4 linked regions of the Schizosaccharomyces pombe genome follow. The gene in region 1 interacts genetically with each later gene. Each region holds a gene or a part of one and is shown in the gene's direction. Other genes may lie near its edges.

What was found.
Region 2: of rep1 (region 1) and cdc10, extra expression of one rescues a mutant of the other (dosage rescue), as found in Schizosaccharomyces pombe (one study listed by BioGRID).
Region 3: of rep1 (region 1) and eso1, a mutation in one rescues a mutant of the other (synthetic rescue), as found in Schizosaccharomyces pombe (one study listed by BioGRID).
Region 4: of rep1 (region 1) and res1, extra expression of one rescues a mutant of the other (dosage rescue), as found in Schizosaccharomyces pombe (2 studies listed by BioGRID).

The regions. Positions count from the first base shown.
Region 1 is NC_003423.3:2,974,849-2,979,339, forward strand, and holds rep1 (MBF transcription factor activator Rep1), read left to right. Parts: upstream 1-1,849; 5' UTR 1,850-2,317; coding exon 2,318-3,736; 3' UTR 3,737-3,990; downstream 3,991-4,491. Other genes in the region: cell wall glucan 1,3-beta-glucosidase Exg3, read left to right, coding at 1-667, 718-1,424; mmp1 (endopeptidase catalytic subunit), read right to left, coding at 4,058-4,276, 4,324-4,450. UniProt on the Schizosaccharomyces pombe protein: Transcriptional activator that controls the onset of premeiotic DNA synthesis by regulating res2 and some other factor(s) in a mei2 independent cascade.
Region 2 is NC_003423.3:2,760,241-2,765,472, reverse strand, and holds cdc10 (DNA-binding transcription factor, MBF transcription factor complex subunit Cdc10), read left to right. Parts: upstream 1-1,672; 5' UTR 1,673-1,882; coding exon 1,883-4,186; 3' UTR 4,187-4,307; downstream 4,308-5,232. Other genes in the region: PAN complex subunit Ppk26, read left to right, coding at 106-153; mmp2 (endopeptidase catalytic subunit), read left to right, coding at 477-718, 791-940, 1,008-1,158; GARP complex subunit Vps52, read right to left, coding at 4,308-5,232. UniProt on the Schizosaccharomyces pombe protein: Major component of the cell cycle transcription factor complex MBF (MCB binding factor, also known as DSC1), that controls G1-S phase specific gene expression. Involved in the control of rRNA production, via interaction with pol5.
Region 3 is NC_003423.3:4,276,363-4,281,703, reverse strand, and holds eso1 (mitotic cohesin N-acetyltransferase/DNA polymerase eta Eso1 fusion protein), read left to right. Parts: upstream 1-2,050; 5' UTR 2,051-2,112; coding exon 2,113-4,731; 3' UTR 4,732-4,815; downstream 4,816-5,341. Other genes in the region: ale1 (MBOAT family O-acyltransferase), read left to right, coding at 179-1,708; SPOM_SPBC16A3.12C (triglyceride lipase-cholesterol esterase), read right to left, coding at 4,816-4,953, 5,005-5,341. UniProt on the Schizosaccharomyces pombe protein: Probable acetyltransferase required for the establishment of sister chromatid cohesion and couple the processes of cohesion and DNA replication to ensure that only sister chromatids become paired together.
Region 4 is NC_003423.3:1,230,559-1,236,094, forward strand, and holds res1 (MBF transcription factor complex subunit Res1), read left to right. Parts: upstream 1-2,027; 5' UTR 2,028-2,776; coding exon 2,777-3,002; intron 3,003-3,129; coding exon 3,130-4,817; 3' UTR 4,818-5,029; downstream 5,030-5,536. Other genes in the region: acetylglutamate synthase Arg6, read left to right, coding at 1-235; orotate phosphoribosyltransferase Ura5, read left to right, coding at 521-1,168; RNA polymerase I transcription factor subunit Rrn11, read right to left, coding at 5,093-5,338, 5,453-5,536. UniProt on the Schizosaccharomyces pombe protein: Acts as a positive regulator of the mitotic cell cycle and as a negative regulator of sexual differentiation. May be involved in the transcriptional regulation of the cdc22 and cdt1 genes. Is an integral component of the DSC1-like complex.

The DNA.
Region 1 (4,491 bases):
TTATACATATACAGGAAGCAGTACGGTGTTAATCTTGGTGCTTGGTTTTGCGCCGAAAGATGGATTAATGATTTCTTGTTTACTGGTGAAGGTAGCAGTGAACTTGAAGCAGTAAGTGGTAATGTTAAGGCTCATGGAATAGACAAAGCTAGAGAGAATTTTGAGGCGCATTGGAAAAGTTGGATTGGTATTGAAGATTTTTCTTATATGAAACAGCACTTAGTTAATAGTGTACGAATACCTCTTGGATATTGGTCATTAGGAAATGATGAATTGGTTAAAGGAACGCCATTTGAGCCTTATGCTGAAGTATATCGTAATAGCCTACACATCTTGTGTGAGAAAATTCAAGAAGCAGGAAGCCTTTCGATCGGTGTGCTTTTAGACTTCCATGGGGTGTATGGAGGAGGAAATTGTGACGGACATTCCGGTACATCGTCTGGAAAGGCAGAATTTTATGAAAAGCAAGAATATCAAGACAGAACAGTGGAAGCCGTTAAATTTTTATCGTCGAAGATTGGTCAGTTTGAAAATGTTATTGGTATTCAAGTAATTAATGAACCGATCTGGGGCCAATATGATGTTCTTGCTAATTTCTATCAAAAAGCTCGCTCTGTTGTTCCTTCCTATCTTCCTGTCTATATTGGTGATGGATGGGATAAAGATCGTATGTCAATTCCATATAGTCATATCATTTTCAATGCTAACAGGATACAGATTGGGTGAATTGGGTGAATGATCATGAATCTGAAGGATTCTATGTGGTTGATCATCATAGCTATTTCTGTTTTGGCGGCGAATTATGCCATGCACCCCCAAAGCTTATAACCAGAAGACTTGATACTGGTGAAGAATACGGTAAAACCAAACTTTCCAATATAGTTATTGGCGAATGGAGTTGTACTTTAAGCCAAGAATCATGGAGCCAAACAAAGCTCCACGATAAAAGAAGACGTGACTTTGGTGAAGCTCAACTGAACCAGTATTTGAATTATTGCGGAGGATGCTTCTTTTGGACTTATAAATTCCTTCACGGAAAAGGTGGAGATTGGGATTTTAGATCTGTTGTAGAGGACAAGGTAATCAATTACCCTCCTCCTCCCCCTACCGAAAACAAAGCCATGCCGGCCTTACTTGAACAAAGTCGGGATCAAAACTTTGGTGGACATTGCTATTATTGGGATCAGAAACAACATGATCATCCATATGAACATGATTTATATGTTAAAGGATGGAATCAAGCCTGGGAGGACTACATTGAGTTTCTTCAGCATGGGGCCATGATCGGATTTCCTCGTGCATGGACTCAAAAAAGGATGACAAGTATTTCTTCTGCTTCTGCTTGGGAATATCGTGACGGTATGAATGCGGCCTGGTTGCATCTCGAGCGTATGGGCTTTCTCAATCCTTTTCGTCACCCATAATTCCATAATGTCTGTCTTAATGACCTTTATACTCTATGTTTATGCTTTTGTTTATCCGCACAAAAATTTAATGTGTTTGGTAACCCTCCTGCTAATCTCTATTCCCTTACCCACTTTTTGTCGTTAAATTTTGCTTGTTGTATTCACATCCTTGTTACATATGTTTAATTTTGGTAGATTAAAAATTCTGTTGATTTTCTTTTATAAAATTCTCTAAAAGATAATTAAAGGATTAATATTAACGACTTACTATTGAATTTTTTAATAGAGAAATGAAATAATAGAACGTTTAAATAAAGAATCCAAGCATTTTTCTTTGTTTACATCCTTTGTTTACAATACGCAATCTTAGCATAGTAAAACAAAGAAAGGATACGTAGTAGTGCGTACGTATTTTACCCACACTCGCTTTTTACCGCACTCTTGAACTATATATACATGTACTACCTCGAGCTGGAAGTAGTACAGTAAAATTCGTATATTGCTATTAATCCTTTTTTATCTTATTTAAACATCAAGGAGTAGTATTTATTGACGTTATCAAAGCAAAACTTTACTTTGACACTGTATTAATACACCAGGCATCTCTCTATTACATAGTGTCGGCTACAATTGACTTAAAAGAATTGTTTTAAATCTAATTGCTAAAGCTGAAACTGTTTAAAATTTAGAATATTTAAACTTATACATTATATTAAACTTTTATGCAATTTAGCTTGACGGCAATACGATAATATCTTTTTAATTCCTAGGTCTCATATATTATTCTTGCTGTTGAGCTTAAAACCATAAAACAGCCTTACGTTTGTTTCTGAACGACAAACTATTACCATATATTGAATTGACTTTCCTGAATTTATACCCTTATTTTCTTTATTAAAGCTTTGAACGTCATGGATTCTGATCGTTGTTTAACAGACGAAATTTCATTAAATACGCTTTCATCTACTTTTGCTAGTGATAATAACTTAAGAAGGAAAGAGAATTTTTTGAAAAGTAGATACCCTTCAAAATTTGATTTAAATGTTTCAATGTTAACGAAGAGTGATGACGTTGGAAAGACCCCGTTTTCAATTTTCGATTCACCAAGCAATCCTGGCTTTTCTCGGTCGCACCAAATGTGTTCTGACAAAAACAAGAGTCCCTTCCTCTTTGATAAGATTAGGGATGAACCCGTTTCTGTCGATCCCGTTAAACTTATCATTAATAATCGGAACAAACGGAAAATTAATAGACAGAAATCAAGGCTTCAAGGCCTTTATCGGTCCGATGCTAATGGTTTGCAACCATTGAATTCTGAAAATGTCAAAATGAAAAAATCAACTGCCTTGTCGTTGACAAGTTCACCCTTAAACTCTTGGAAAACTGATTTCAAAACACCGCCGAAAGCTAATGTTGTTTGTATCTCTTTAGTTATTGAAGGAGACGGCTGCGCATCATTGCTGTACGAAGATTTGAATCAGATTTCCAATAGTTGCCCTGAAGTAGCACCGAACCGTCAGAACGCTCTCTTTTCAGACGAAACGCTGACAACTATGTTCTATAGTGGTGTCACGGAGGATGAGGGCTCATGTAACAATTTACTACAATCTAGCTTCGGTGATGATCTGGACTTGGGAATGCAACGGTCTGCAACTTGGGCACCGGGCTATAATTATCCAAGCAAATTTGATAGCATACCTTTTGCTTCAGCATCTCCAAAAATAAAAGCAGCTTTCCCTTTCGATCCCAACGTTTATGCATTGAATACTAACGATGGTCCAGTCACGAGTACTGATAATAATTGTGATCAATTAAACACTAGGATGCAGGCATGGAATAATGGCTTTAATTACTCAAACCTAAATGGTGATATCCAATATCCTGCTGTTACACCAAAATTTTTTCAACAAGAAGGCCGGGCCCTTAATGTTTCCGACTGTAATTTTGGAAATGAAGAAATTGCTTACGGTGGAATTCCTATGCGTGTTTGTCATAGTGATAGCACATTATGTGATGCCAGAATTGCAGCTAAGCAAGCTTTAAAAGGTAAAAGGCAATATGACACATCAACATCAAAAGCAGAGCTCTCTACTCCCCCATCAAAACGAAGGCATATTGATGATGCCGATTTAGTTTTTCACAGTAGTCCCTTACTGTCACGCTCGCGATTCATTTGTTGCTACTGCACGAAGCCTTTCCTTTCAATTAGTAAACTTCAGGAACATGAGTCCTCGTGTTCACATGTTGAGCGACTCTTTGGGTTTGCCCCAAATCGTCTTTATGATGATGGTGATGGATTTTTGGGTTCGAGTTTTTGCAGTGATTGGTAAGATTATAGCATGTTTCGCTGCATCTATTTGATTGTCCAGCAGCTGAGATTGCTACGATTTATTCTTTATTTAAAACACATTTATTTCATGCTTTATTACTTATCATTAATCTTGTACTTTAATTTAATTTTTCATAGTTATTAATCTTTAATTAGTGTTTATGAGGCGATCTTTGAAGTCTCTCTTTTGTTTTTAGAATTAGCATTTTTTTCAAACAAGTAATTGCCAACTAACATAAAAATATTAATAAATTCATACATTTCAATTAACATCTGGTGAGCCAAGAGTGAGTTGTAGAATAATATTTAATGCTCATAATACCTATTCCACATCTATGTCATTCAAAATGTTAGACATCCAGTGGGGATGTGGCCATACACGAGCTATAACTTTAGCCTTAATAAGGCCCATTGGAACAGGTCCGTAATTTCGACTATCAAGTGAGTGAGCAATGTTATCTCCTGCAAGCCAAACATGACCTAAAGGTATAGTTATTTTTTTATTTGAAGAGGTGGGATCGACATAAATTGTATCTCCTGGCTATAAAATTAGTACAAAAAGGATAACGTTCCATGTGAAATACTCACCATTCCAATGATTCGTTTGCACACGTGTTGCTTTGAATCGGAAGGTTTTGCCGAAACAACAACATCTCCTACAGAACATGAACGAGCAAACCTACCATGCAATTTATCTAACAAAACGAATTCACCACTTTTTAAGTTAGAACCATAAATACAAAGCGTTATTTCAAT
Region 2 (5,232 bases), 210 kb from region 1:
TAAGTATTTGCTCAAAAAGCCATAGTGGGTGCTTAGTAAATTAGACTACTTTTCCACACTATATAGCCTGTTTGTTTGCAAAATTACTAACAATAACAAATGTAGCTAAAAGCTTGGTTGGACAACGTTTACGAAATGGAAATAAATTCTTAAAATAAAACATTTTTCTTTACAGAATATTTATTTGTTTTTTTGTATCTATTACCATGGTTGTTAATTTAAGTAAATAATAGTTTTCGCTATAATAATATTAGAAGGAAGCTAAGCTTAATGTGGTTTTGAATTACCTACTGCAACACACCGTATTGAAACAAAAACGATCAGGAATAGAAGCCTGACACTTATCAGATAAAATTCATTAATACGTTTTCCTGGTTTAATTATTAATTACGGAAACTCCCATGCTTGTTAAGGTACATACAGACGGTTAATCATAAACTTCTTAGAGGAGAGAGTTTAGCAGTTGTCCTCAAAAAATGGCAAACCCTTTCGTTCGAAATCAATCTTTTAAATCAGTATTTTTTAAAAATTTAGTCGGAATTACCCTATGGGTACCCGTATTAATGTTCGTTGAACAACATGTAGTCAGCGTCGGTACAATTGAAGGTAGATCTATGAAACCAGCCTTTAACCCTGAGACAAACATGCTGCAGAGAGATAGGGTACTACTTTGGAAATGGAATAAGGATTACAAAAGAGGAGATGTAGTTATACTACGGTAAGTTCTTGGATCGTTGCAGGGTCTTTCGGTACTGAGTTTCCCTTTTTATCGTTACTAATAAGCAACAAGCTCTCCAGAAAACCCAGAGGAACTATTGGTAAAAAGAGTTCTAGGAGTAGAATACGATATCATGAAAACGAGACCTCCTAAAAAGTTGTCATTAGTACCCGTTCCCGAGGGACATGTGTGGGTCGAAGGCGATGAACAATTTCATTCTATGTAGGTTTCCAACAATTGTTTTTTTACTTTTTCGTTTTCTTCTATAGAGATATTAACTAGTTTACAGTGATAGTAACAAATTTGGCCCAGTATCGACAGGACTCATCACTGCCAAAGTGATTGCAATTTTGTTTCCCTTCTCTCGTGCAGGGCGTATTGATCATGAAGGTTTCCGAAAGAATGCAGTGTTTTTAAGTGGAAAACGTTCTGTTAAGTAAGCTGCACCACAGTGAACCTGTTTCCTTGACAGTTTAGTTCCATGCTGGTTGGTGCTTATTTACATTTCTTTTAAGGAACACGTTATCCTTAAATTTAATTTATTTCGACGCGTCGCGTTCTATATATGACGTCATTAATATGTCTATCTATTTACCTATTTGAAAAAGATGGAAGTTGGAAGCTACTTTGTATTAGAAATACCAATAAAAAAATATAATTTTTTCATACTCAACATCAAAACTTTTATTTAGGGAAAATTAGAATTGACTGAAAAATCCGTCTCTTTTGCATATCCCGAAACAGTAAAGTCGTTGAGTATAGCAAAGTTGGAAATTTTTCAACAGGGTATTTGAAATGAGAAAGAATTCCATTTCTAAGTAGCCTTTAAATAAAACCCCCAGAAGAAACGAACATTGAAGTAGTCCTTTGTTTTCCTTAGGAAGCCTCATATATCGTTACTTCGAATACGGTCTAACGCCGTACCAAATGTATACAGCTGCGTGAACCTTCCCAGAGCGAATTTGTGTATAACACGAAATCCGAAAAAATTACTTCTATTTATTTGAAAAAGAAAGGAATTCACAATCTCTTAAACAAACCAAGTGGTGAGGAGCTCGAGTCTTCTTTCATGGTCAGTTCAGCACCCTTATTTTCGAGAAAAACGTGCTGCCCTTTATAAAAAATTCGATATTTTTTCGGCATTTTTTATTTTAATATACTATAATGGCTTCAGCCAATTTTATTCGCCAGTTTGAGCTGGGGAACGATTCTTTTTCATACCAAAAACGCCCAGAGGATGAGCCATCACAACCCCTTTCAAACAGAAATATAAACAAACTAAACGATTCATCTACTTTAAAAGACTCTAGTTCAAGGATTTTTATTAACTCCCAAGTTTTACGTGATGGCCGACCCGTAGAATTGTATGCTGTCGAATGTTCAGGCATGAAATATATGGAGCTTAGCTGTGGGGATAATGTTGCTCTTCGAAGATGTCCAGATTCTTACTTTAATATCTCTCAAATACTTCGACTTGCTGGTACTTCGTCATCTGAAAACGCCAAAGAATTGGATGATATTATCGAGAGTGGGGACTATGAGAATGTTGACTCCAAACACCCTCAAATAGATGGAGTATGGGTTCCATATGATCGAGCAATTTCTATAGCAAAGCGATATGGGGTTTATGAAATTTTACAACCATTAATTTCTTTTAATCTTGATTTATTCCCCAAATTTTCAAAGCAGCAACAAATCGAAAGTTCTTCAATCTCCAAAAATTTAAATACTTCTTCTTTTAATACGCGATCCCCTTTGAGGAATCATAATTTTTCAAACCCTAGCAAGTCTTCAAAGAATGGGGTGCACACTATAAACAATATGCAGAGTTCACCTTCACCTTCTTCCTCTTTCTTACTACCTTTAACTCAAATTGATAGCCAAAATGTTAAACGCTCTAACAATTACCTCTCCACCTCTCCACCTATCCTTGAACAGCGTTTAAAACGGCATAGAATTGATGTCAGTGATGAAGACTTACATCCCTCCTCACAGTTAAATGATAATGAGGCCTCTTCATTGTTTCCAGATACGCCAAGGTTGAACCATTCACTTTCTTTTGTATCCTTGGTTTCTAGTCTTCCTCCACTTGATCAGAATATTATGCAGGATTATCATACATCAAAAGACATTTTGACCTCTATCTTTTTAGATGTAAACTTTGCTGATTCCAGCGCCTTAGAAGCAAAGCTGTCGGACTCATTAGATTTGGATGTCCCCATTGACGAACTTGGACACGCCGCTCTGCACTGGGCAGCAGCCGTTGCCAAAATGCCTTTGTTACAAGCCTTAATACATAAAGGAGCTAATCCTTTACGTGGCAACCTCACAGGAGAAACGGCATTAATGAGATCGGTTTTGGTAACCAATCATCTCAATCAGAACTCTTTTGGTGATTTACTAGACTTGCTTTACGCATCTCTTCCCTGTACAGATCGAGCTGGACGGACCGTCGTTCATCACATTTGTCTTACTGCAGGTATAAAAGGCCGAGGTTCAGCATCGAGATATTACTTAGAAACCTTATTAAATTGGGCAAAGAAACATGCAAGTGGTAACAACGGATATATGCTGAAAGACTTCATAAACTATTTAAATCATCAAGATAAAAATGGGGATACAGCTTTAAATATCGCAGCAAGAATTGGAAATAAGAACATTGTTGAAGTTTTAATGCAAGCCGGAGCTTCCGCTTATATTCCTAATCGTGCAGGGTTAAGCGTAGCAAATTTTGGAATTTTTGTTGAAAACGCATTAAAACAACCCGAAGACTCAAAACAAACAAAAGTTTCCCTTATGAGTGAAAATCTGTCCAGCAAAGAAAAGACTGCTGTCCCTCCTCGTCAAAAGAGTAGAGACATTATCGCCTCTGTGACCGATGTAATATCTTCTCTGGATAAAGATTTTCAGGATGAAATGGCTGCAAAACAGTCTATGATTGACTCAGCCTACACCCAATTGCGTGAATCTACAAAAAAGCTGTCCGATCTTCGTGAACAACTACACGTGTCCGAGACGCAAAGAACTTTGTTTCTTGAATTAAGGCAACGTTGTAAAAATCTTATGACTTCGATCGAAGAACAGAAAAGTGAATTAAGTAATCTTTATGAATCTTTTGATCCCAATGGAATACACGATTCATTATCATTGGATGCTGACGCTCCTTTTACTGTCAATGAAAACAACAACAAAAATTTATCTATTGCTGAATTGAAGTTTCAAGTTGCTGCTTATGAGAGAAATGAAGCCAGATTAAACGAATTAGCGAACAAACTTTGGCAACGAAATTCCAACATAAAATCAAAGTGCCGTCGGGTTGTTTCCCTATGCACCGGTGTCGATGAATCTCGAGTGGATTCATTATTGGAAAGTTTGTTACAAGCCGTGGAAAGTGACGGTCAACAGGGAGAAGTAGATATGGGTCGAGTTGCTGGATTCTTACGTGTTGTTAAAGAACATCAAGCATAATATTGCTTTTTGTGGTTTACCACTAAAGTGTCCTGAAATAATTAACTACTTTAATTTTTTTCTTAATATAGAATCCTACCAAATGAATAAAACGTAATTTATTATATGTTAATAATCTTGGCTATTGGAAATTAGTTAAATTTTCATTAAGCTTTTCGAAATATGTTTTTTGCTCTATAGCTAAATTTCCCGATACGCCGCTAAGAACAGTCGAAATGAGGGTATAATTATTGGACAAAAACCTACTTTGTCTCCTTTTGTCATTAACTGTTTTACACAGGTTTTGTAACATGCTCACATAATCCTGAGCTAGTCTTGAAGCACTTCGTGCAACAGGCTCGGCTTCTACGACATTAACACTTAGCATCGAAAGGCTATAAAGTAGTTCAGCTACTCGCTGCGAAAGTGGATGAGGTCGCGAAGTGATTTCTTCTGGCTTCACAGATAAGTTAGTTTTACGGAGTGACTCACAGTGCATGTCCATGACAGCTTGAAAGCGAGGCCACAGAAAAAGAATCATGGAGTTATAGTGTGGCTCAATAACAGGCACTATATTAGTTTGCGCCTGTAAAGCTAATTTTTGAGTAAAACGAATGGACTTCAAAATACCTATGCAATCGATACTGCTTGATATCAATCCTGTAATGTATTTGCGTGAAAAATGTAAAGTTTTTTCAAAGATAGCGGCAAAAACGGTAGCCTGCTGATCTTTAGAGAGGTTAAAGTACTCCAGCAAAAAAGCATATTCAGAAGAGACGTGTTCCGTCAAGACTAATTCCCATGAGCAATAAACACGTTCAATATATTGTGGGGAAGATTCAATATGATGCATTGTAGATGCTGTCAACACAGAGTTCATATCAAAATCCTGAGGGCGCAAGTTTACTGAGAGCATTTGATTCCCGTAAGATTGTTGTGCTCCTTTGGAAAGGTTGAAGAGTCCTTTCCGATCCTCTTCAACGCGAATAGTTTCTCCCTTAAGGACATGAACTTTGTCCAAAAACCTAGAGTACTGTTCGAAGTGGTATAGATAAAACCAATTCATC
Region 3 (5,341 bases), 1.3 Mb from region 1:
GTTCTTTAGACCAGAAATTGTTGGTGTTCATGAGCTAAAACTTCACCAACACCAAACTCTGGGTACAATCTTCACTGTACATTCGTGATTAAAGAATAATCGATTGTTGAGTGTTTAATATCAGTTGTTCAATTCAAAGGCATTCCCAAAGCAGGAGACAGTATTGTCTACATTAACAATGGCTTATCTTATTGATATACCATTTGAATACTTCTCTTCTTTCCTTGGAGTCCACCCGGATCAGCTCAAGTTACTGTTTTGTTTTCTTTCAGCATACCCGTTTGCCGGCATACTAAAAAGACTTCCTTCGGCTCCATGGATTAGAAACTTATTTTCAATAAGCATAGGTTTATTTTATCTCATTGGTGTTCATCATCTTTACGATGGCGTTTTAGTTTTGCTATTTGACGCTTTGTTCACATATTTCGTGGCCGCGTTTTATCGATCGTCACGAATGCCATGGATCATATTTATAGTAATCCTTGGCCATACATTTAGCAGCCATGTTATTCGGTACATTTACCCTTCAGAAAATACTGATATTACTGCTTCACAAATGGTACTATGTATGAAGCTTACAGCGTTTGCCTGGTCTGTTTACGACGGTCGTCTTCCTTCAAGTGAATTATCTTCTTATCAAAAAGACCGCGCGTTGAGAAAGATTCCTAATATCTTGTATTTCCTTGGATACGTATTTTTCTTTCCCTCATTACTTGTTGGTCCAGCTTTTGATTATGTTGATTACGAAAGGTTTATAACCCTTTCTATGTTTAAGCCTTTGGCTGATCCTTATGAAAAACAGATAACACCACACAGTTTGGAACCAGCCTTAGGTCGTTGCTGGCGAGGTCTGTTGTGGCTGATTTTATTTATTACCGGAAGCTCAATCTATCCTTTAAAGTTTCTACTTACACCTAAGTTTGCTTCCTCCCCTATTTTGCTAAAATATGGATACGTTTGCATAACTGCTTTTGTTGCAAGAATGAAATATTATGGCGCATGGGAACTTTCTGACGGTGCATGTATATTGTCAGGCATTGGTTATAATGGCCTGGATTCTTCTAAGCATCCTCGTTGGGATCGAGTGAAGAATATTGACCCTATTAAGTTCGAATTCGCAGATAATATCAAATGTGCTCTTGAGGCTTGGAACATGAATACCAATAAATGGCTTCGAAATTACGTTTATTTGAGAGTTGCAAAGAAGGGAAAGCGTCCAGGGTTCAAAAGTACGCTAAGCACATTCACTGTTAGTGCAATGTGGCATGGAGTTTCTGCTGGATATTATTTGACTTTTGTTTCCGCAGCCTTTATCCAAACAGTTGCAAAATACACGCGTCGCCATGTTCGCCCATTTTTCCTTAAACCAGATATGGAAACTCCTGGGCCTTTTAAGCGAGTCTATGATGTTATTGGTATGGTAGCAACAAACCTCTCTCTCTCCTATCTAATTATCTCTTTCCTTCTTTTGAATCTAAAAGAATCAATACACGTTTGGAAAGAGCTATATTTTATTGTGCATATATATATATTGATAGCTCTGGCTGTGTTCAATTCCCCAATAAGGTCGAAATTAGATAATAAGATACGATCCAGAGTCAACAGCTATAAACTAAAAAGTTACGAACAATCTATGAAATCCACTAGTGATACGGACATGTTAAATATGTCGGTGCCCAAAAGAGAAGATTTTGAAAATGATGAATGAAGGATTAATTTGCTATGAGGTAGCATCATATGCAATAAATTGAAGCATTTGAATATTTTGCAGCTTTGTTAACAGCAATTTCATCTTAATTGTTCATCATATACAATACCTTTCATGGCGGCAGTATATTCATTGTGTTTATATATATGTTTACATATTAAAGTAGTCTCTTAAATAAAATTCCTGAATGTTTTCTCTCAATTCAGTTTTTAAGTTTAACATCTAATTTCCTTTGATGATTTATTTTGGTTACAACATTATGAGAGTTTGAATTTATTTTGCTTTAGTATCTGGTAGTAGGTAACGTTGCTATATCTAGTACCTTAGTCCACTAAATTCAACACGAACGCGCTATAGAACTTGAGCGATTCTTATTAAAGAACTTTTTTGAGGGTATGAACTGAATGGAATTAGGCAAAAGCAAATTCTCTTGGAAGGACTTGCAATATTGTGATAAAGCAGGTACACAAAATTCACCGTTAAGGGTTGTAGCTCATATTGATCAGGATGCTTTTTACGCTCAAGTCGAAAGTGTTCGCCTAGGATTAGACCATTCAGTTCCCCTTGCTGTTCAACAATGGCAAGGGCTTATTGCTGTAAACTACGCAGCCCGTGCAGCGAATATTTCACGCCATGAAACAGTTACTGAAGCAAAAAAGAAATGTCCAGAGCTTTGTACCGCTCATGTAAAAACTTGGAAAGCTGGGGAGTCAGAGGCTAAGTACCATGAAAACCCAAATCCTAACTACTATAAAACCTGTTTAGATCCTTATCGGCACGAAAGCGTTAAGATTCTTAACATCATAAAGAAACATGCGCCTGTGGTTAAGAAGGCTAGTATTGACGAATGTTTTATTGAACTTACGAGTGATGTTAAACGGATTGTGTTGGAGGAATATCCTTACTTGAAAATTCCCTCTGAGGACTCAAATGTTGCTTTGCCGCAGGCTCCAGTGCTACTATGGCCTGCTGAGTTTGGAATGGTCATTGAAGAAGAAGTTGTAGATAGAACGAAAGAAGATTATGAAAGGGATTGGGATGATGTTTTTTTATTTTACGCTGCAAAAATCGTGAAAGAAATTCGCGATGATATATACTTGCAACTCAAATACACGTGCTCAGCAGGAGTTTCTTTTAACCCAATGCTTTCAAAGCTTGTCAGCTCGCGTAATAAACCAAACAAGCAAACTATTTTAACGAAAAATGCAATTCAAGATTATTTAGTGTCATTAAAGATTACTGATATAAGAATGCTGGGCGGAAAATTTGGAGAAGAAATAATTAATTTATTAGGAACAGATTCTATTAAGGATGTTTGGAATATGAGTATGGACTTTTTGATAGATAAGCTTGGTCAAACTAACGGTCCACTCGTTTGGAATTTGTGCCATGGAATTGATAACACTGAGATTACTACACAAGTTCAGATTAAATCAATGTTGTCGGCTAAAAATTTTTCTCAGCAAAAAGTGAAGTCTGAAGAAGATGCAATTAACTGGTTTCAAGTATTCGCATCTGATCTTCGATCACGATTCCTTGAACTTGAAGGAATGAGAAGGCCCAAGACCATTTGTTTGACTGTTGTATCAAGATTTCTGAGAAAGTCAAGGTCAAGTCAAATACCTATGAATGTTGATATTAGCACTCAGTTTATTGTTGAAGCAACATCCAAACTGTTGCGTCAACTGCAACAGGAATTCGATGTATATCCGATTTCAAACTTATCTATTAGCTTTCAAAACATCATAGAGGTTGATCGTAATTCTAGGGGAATTGAGGGTTTTTTAAAAAAGTCCAATGATGAAATCTACATGTCTACTTCTGTTTCACCTTCTATTGAGGGACGCGCTAAATTATTGAACGAAAATATGAGGGAAAATAATTCTTTTGAATTATCTTCGGAAAAAGATATAAAGTCACCTAAAAGGTTGAAAAGAGGTAAAGGTAAAGGGATTTTTGATATGCTACAACAGACCGCTGTTTCTAAACCAACGGAGAATTCAGCTGATGAAACTTACACGTGTGAAGAATGCGAACAGAAAATTACTTTATCCGAAAGAAATGAACATGAAGATTATCATATAGCTCTCTCCATTTCGAGAAAAGAACGCTATAATAACTTAGTACCGCCATCCCATGATAAACCTAAGCAAGTAAAGCCTAAAACATATGGAAGGAAAACCGGTAGCAAGCATTATGCACCTTTATCCGATGAAACAAACAACAAAAGAGCATTTTTGGACGCATTTTTAGGAAACGGTGGAAATCTGACACCAAATTGGAAAAAGCAAACGCCAAAAGCAATTTCCAACAGCTCAGACAACATGACCCAGTTACACTTAGATTTGGCTAATTCCACCGTAACTTGTTCAGAATGTTCTATGGAGTACAATTCAACGAGCGAAGAAGATATTTTGCTTCATTCTAGGTTTCATTCTCGGGTTCTAGGAGGTGTTACTGTGTCCTTTCAATGCTCTCCTATTTATCGCGTTAACTATGGTTTGAGTTCCGATTGCATATACAGCATAAATTCAGAAAGCTCATTAATTGATCAAAGAAAAGCAGAGGAAGCTTTATCTTTCGTAAATAACGAACTTTCAAGTGAGCCTATTGAAACAATTGGGGTAGATAAATATACCACATTTCTATTCATATCAGATAAGAAATGTGTCGGATTACTTCTGGCAGAGCGTATATCTTCTGCATACATAGTCGATGAACTTGAACTCAACAACAACAATAGCACCTCTTCCGCAGTATATATAAAAAACGAAAATCTACGAAAGGGGTTTGTATTGGGTATTTCCAGGATTTGGGTATCAGCTTCAAGACGCAAACAAGGGATAGCAAGTTTACTATTAGACAATGCTTTAAAAAAATTCATTTACGGTTACGTTATATCGCCTGCAGAAGTTGCTTTTAGTCAGCCTAGTGAAAGTGGTAAACAGTTCATTATTTCGTGGCATCGTTCTCGAAACAATGGTTCTTCGAAGTCACTTCGATATGCTGTTTATGAAAGTTGAAAATAGTCTGACAAAATTAAAGTTGTTCTAAATATCTATCTAAGCGTTATATAGAAGTTTTTTTTTTAAATTATTAATTAATCATTAATGAAAACCGTTTTGTTTAACGAAATGTTTGGCTTTGCCTAATGAATGATGCTTAAGGGCATCTATTACAACTGGGAACACTTCCTCTTTAACATCCTGGCCCCATAGAAAGTCAAGATGTTCATAATGAGCAATCTAACTTATATTAGCATATTGAGCAACAAACCTATAAAATAAAAGGCTTACCGAAACTTCCTTTGCATGGGGAGGAAGAGCAGTTCTCATTACTTCCATATTGATCAAAGTATCTTTACCTCCCCATAGTATCAGCATTGGGCATTTGATATTATTCGTAGGAAACAGAGGAACTTGGTAATGGCGTGAACCATATCCAGCTAGAAGAGCCATATCGTCGTCATAAAGCTGGAAAGTACAGTTTTTTATAATCTGAAGCCAGTGAACAACACTCTTTACACTTGAAAAAGAGTAAAGATGTGCATAACCGCAAAGTTTTTGATTAAGAGAAATGTTGGATAGGTCCCAGTTGAATAAAATTTTAAGGGATACATCGACAATTTTTACA
Region 4 (5,536 bases), 1.7 Mb from region 1:
ATCTGATGTTATGTTTAATGTTATGACTGATTTATTTCCCAAAGAGTTGATATGGCGCTCTCGCCTGACTAATCCAGTCAATAAATGGTACTTTGAAAGAAGTGTAGGCTCCTTAAAGTCAAGCAAAACACCTTGGAAACTTTTCTGGACTGGAGACTCACATGTCAGAAATTTGGATCGAGTGAACCAGTATATGAGCGTTATTGATAAAATTCAGCCAACATGGTTGAATTGAGTGGAAGTTAACGATTGCACTTTATCAGAGACAAGATTATTTCGCTTCTTCAAAAGCACTTGTCAAACTTTTTAATAAAAGGAAAAAAGTCCATTTTGATAGGACATTAATTCTCTTTTGCACATTAGATTATAGATTGAGTAGTTTGCCTACAAACTTGCATTTTTCTTTAGTTATGATTTTTGTTTATTCCCCCACATAACCCCCATGTAGAGCTTAGAAAAGGTGATACTAGCTTTTTTCTTTTGTGAGTATCAACGTTTATCAACAAAACTAGTAGTAAACATGTCTTATAAACTTGAGTTGTTGCGTCGTGCCTTAGAACATAATGTTTTGAAGTTTGGAACTTTCACCTTAAAATCAGGCAGAAAATCTCCATACTTCTTCAATTCTGGTAATTTCACTCATGGTGCCGATTTATGCGCTCTTGCAGAAGCCTATGCCGAGACTATTATCGCTATGAACGTTGATTTTGATGTCATATTTGGTCCTGCTTATAAGGGTATCTCTTTGGCTGCTATAACGGCCGTCAAACTTTATGAAAAAACTGGAAAGAGCTATGGATTTGCCTATAACCGCAAAGAGGCCAAGTCCCATGGTGAAGGAGGTAACCTTGTAGGCGCCGAAATGGAAGGTAAAAAGGTTTTACTTTTGGATGATGTTATTACCGCTGGAACTGCCATTCGTGAAGCAATTTCCTTCTTAGAACCTAAGCACGTAAAATTGGCTGGTATCGTCCTTTTGCTTGACCGCCAAGAGCGACTGGACCCCGAAGTAAACGAAAGTACCATTGGTAGATTGAAGAAGGAGCTTAACTTACCCGTTTCCTCCATCCTTACTTTGGACGACATTGTTGACTTTACCAAATCAGACTTAACTGCAGCTGAATCAAAGGCAATGGATGCTTACAGACAGCAGTACCAAGCCAAATGAGCTTATGGTAATGTTTCTTTTAAAAATTTGGAAGGAGGAAAGAGAATAATTGGATAAGTATCTTTTTTGGTTTTTAGCTTTGCTTTTTTAAAGAGAGTGAAGTTAGTTGGTATTTACATATGTTATAGAATTTTTTTATCTGTATATTTGTGGTGATAGATACAACTCATATTAGAAGGAATTTTCTATAAAGCGATTGCATTTAGCGGTATTCAAAAATTTCTCTATAATAGACGAAGGAAATTGGTTTACTTGTTAAGCTTTTGTTTTGCACATATCCATCTATCTTTTGATTAGTTCCGTGAATCTGTTTTTTTTGTGTTTGTTTCTTCTTTTGTGTTATTCGAATCTTTCCAAGATGACAGTTAGGAATGAAGCTACCAAAATATTGAGTTGAGGGATAATTAATGTTTCACAAAATGGTATTTGTGTATTATTTTTGTAAAAATTTGTAGGATTTGGTTTTTAGTGATGATTATTTACGTTCGAAAGACGCATATAATGGGCAATTATAAAAAATTTAGGATTTTATTTTTCAATTCTGCGACGGGTATTTATGCTCTGTGTTTGAAATACCAAATATTAAATAATGGTAAAACCTTTAAACAGAAGCCTGGTGATTAACTTTTTATTATGACAAGAAAATGTTAAGAAATTTTGGAATGTTTTTATTCTCATATTCAATGTGAATTTGAATAAGTAGTCACTGCAGTCTATAAATAAAAATGGTTTATTAGAAAAACTCGAGTTGAACAATGAAATTCTTTATCATTTATGTAATACAATTGGTTTAACATAGTGGAATCGAATGGTACAATAATTGAGTTACTAATATGTAACCTTCAAGTATTTATCGTTTACCACTAACTCACCATAAGAGAGGGTGAAAGATTTAGTTCTGTTTGTGTGAGATCTTAAAAAAGCAAGCAAATTTCCTTTTTATCAAAAAAAGGATCCGCATTTCCTGAAGCACTTTACTGTGATTTTAGGGATTTTTTTGGTGAGTAAGAAGCAGTGTTTTTCGATTTTTCTGAGATCTCGCTGTTGAAAAAATCCGGACTAAATCGGCTCCGTAGTCGATAAACCCAAATCTACAGCTTTTTGATTTAAATTATACAAATCGTGATCTGGAAAGTTTCGAAAGGTTTCTGTCCTTACATATTAAAGTTCTTGGTAGTTGAGTATCTTACATCAGCTGGTAAGATACGTGGATTTTTAGGGATAGCAGAGGTCTTTAAAAACATCTGTTTTTAACTCAAAACATAGAGTTAAATACTTTTTAATTGAAAAAATCTTTGAGGCAAACGCCGCTGAGAGAATATATCCTTTCTTTAGTGCATGCAGTTAGTATCATATGTATTTCCGACTTTATCTGCTATAAATACTCGGTTTTCAAAAACTATCGATATTTTGTAGAGGAAATTTCAATTTGCTTCTTCTTTCTCATTTGCTTCGTTTTTTTTTTTATATGATATTAATAGCTGGCGCTGTGGAGTTGAGACATTAAATTATTACAAACATTTAGAGAGACGAAACGTTGTTATTGCATCAAGTTTTGAAGCTCTTCCTTCCTTCCTTTTTTTTAAATTGCTTGCCAATAGTGCCGTTATGTATAACGACCAAATACATAAAATCACCTATTCAGGAGTGGAAGTATTTGAGTATACGATCAATGGCTTTCCTTTAATGAAACGTTGTCATGATAACTGGCTTAATGCCACGCAAATCCTTAAAATTGCAGAGCTCGATAAACCCAGGAGGACAAGGATTCTGGAGAAATTCGCTCAAAAGGGACTTCATGAAAAAATTCAAGGTGGTTGTGGAAAATATCAAGGTTTGTGTTAACTTCTTACTATATCAATAGGTTTAAAACTACTTAAATAACATAAAATTTTTGTCTCTGTTGTTTTTATTTATCAATTTATACTTTTTTGGATGCCTGTTACTAACTATTCATTCAGGAACTTGGGTACCCTCTGAAAGAGCTGTTGAACTTGCTCATGAATATAATGTTTTTGATTTAATACAACCTCTGATTGAATACTCTGGCTCTGCGTTCATGCCAATGTCTACGTTCACTCCTCAGAGCAATCGTAAGCCTACAGAAGCATATCGACGAAACAGTCCAGTAAAAAAGTCATTTTCCCGGCCTTCGCATTCTTTACTCTACCCTTACACATCTTCCAATAATATGACATCTACTTCTAGAATGTCAGGAATCCATGATGCTTTGTCTCTTCAATCTGATTTCACGCGCTCTCCCGATATGCCTTCTGATTCCTTTACGGGATCTTTGCACGATATCAAAGCTTCTCCGTTTTCTTCAAACAATTATGCGCAGTCTCTCTTGGATTACTTTTTATTACCAAATACTACACAACCTCCTGATTTCGTATATGATCGGCCATCAGATTGGGATGTTAATGCTGGCATTGATGAGGATGGTCATACAGCACTTCATTGGGCTGCTGCAATGGGAAATTTGGAAATGATGCATGCACTATTGCAAGCAGGCGCCAACGTAGTTGCTGTCAATTACCTTCAACAAACATCTTTGATGCGCTGTGTAATGTTTACCATGAACTATGATTTACAGACTTTTGAGGTAGTTTCGGAGTTGCTTCAATCTGCTATCTGCATGAACGACTCTTTTGGCCAAACCGTCTTTCACCACATCGCATTATTAGCTTCTTCTAAATCAAAGATGGAAGCCGCTCGTTATTATATGGATATCTTATTGCAAAATTTAACTGCAACACAATCCGTTGATGTCGCTGCCCAAATTATAAACCTTCAGGATGATCATGGGGATACCGCTCTTTTGATCTGCGCTAGAAATGGTGCAAAGAAATGCGCGAGATTATTATTATCCTTTTATGCATCATCCTCCATACCAAATAATCAGGGCCAATACCCAACAGATTTTTTGTCTTCGAAAGACATGTCTTTTCCCGAAAATGATGATTCCCCCTTAAATTCCAAAATCGAGGATAATTTGATAGATAACTTAAAATATCCGCAATCACTTGATGACCACTTATCGTCCAAAAAACCTATTTCTTACTTTTCTAATAAACTTACTCACCAAACCCTTCCCAATGTCTTCACTCAGCTGAGCGAACTTTCAAAATGCCATGAAGCATCTCTTGCTGAAAAACAACTAACCTATAATTTGGCAATGGAGGCGTTGGAGCAAACAGTTCGGGAAACTGAAACTTGCCAAAGATTATGGAATGAACGTACCAATAATGACGAGAACTACTTGGTAAATCAGCGGGAGGATTTGATTCACCAGTGTAAAAAATTTCTGCATACATTGAAAACTGCTAGATATTACCTTGAAACAGTTCAGCTTCATCAATTAAAAAAATACGTAACTTACTTTTCTCAAATATGGAGTACTGATGAGTTAGCTGATATCTCGGAGACCAAAAACCTTGTTGGTCATGATACTAAAACGAACCGTTCGTCTTTAAGCTCAAAACACGAAGTTGATCTTTTTACAGCTGAAAACGAAGCTGCTCGTGAAAAGCTCGTTGAGCAATTATGCTCATTGCAAGCGCAACGGAAACAGAAAATTAACGAAATTTTGAACTTGCTTTCTATGGGAATGTATAATACGATTAATACAGATCAAAGTGGATCTTAATTTTTTTGGTTTTAAATTATTATTCAAAATAATTTTTTCTTTCGTTATCTTATTTTTTGCATTCTTTATGTTTTTTATATAAATACCAACTTGAACTTATAGATATTTAACAATCTTTTTATACAGTCGTTGGCTATCTAATGATTAGTTTTAAATTTAAATTTAAATGTATCTTCCCATCTTATTATTTGCTAATATACATAATTTTTCTGATGGTCAATCTAAAATATTAAATATACTAATGTGCTTTTTGAAATGCCATGGGAATGTTAAATCTACAATTCGACGTCAATTCCTGCGTTTGAAAAGTTGTATTTCGCCTTTTCAATCCATTTAGTTCGCTCAGATTCTGAAGCTTCCTCCTTGGCAAGTTCAAAACACAACATTCCGGAATACTCATGCAATGCAGGATTCTGATTGTAGGGTGGTAACAGCAAATACTCATCAAGCAACTTCATAGCTTTATTGTATTCTTGGCGCTGAATAAGTAGCATGATATATGCTGGAAAAAAATGTTCTGCCTGTAAATGTTAGTATAGAATTGCGACATATGATTGATTTCAAATAAGAAGGGACAAAAAATTCAATACACGAAAAGATGAAAGTATAGACGTTTTGTACCAGTATACACTTACATTACGATTCGGATAAGAGTTGTTAATGGATGGACGCGCAGGATATCGAGCTATTAGTCGCTCCATATACTCTGATGAAGCTTC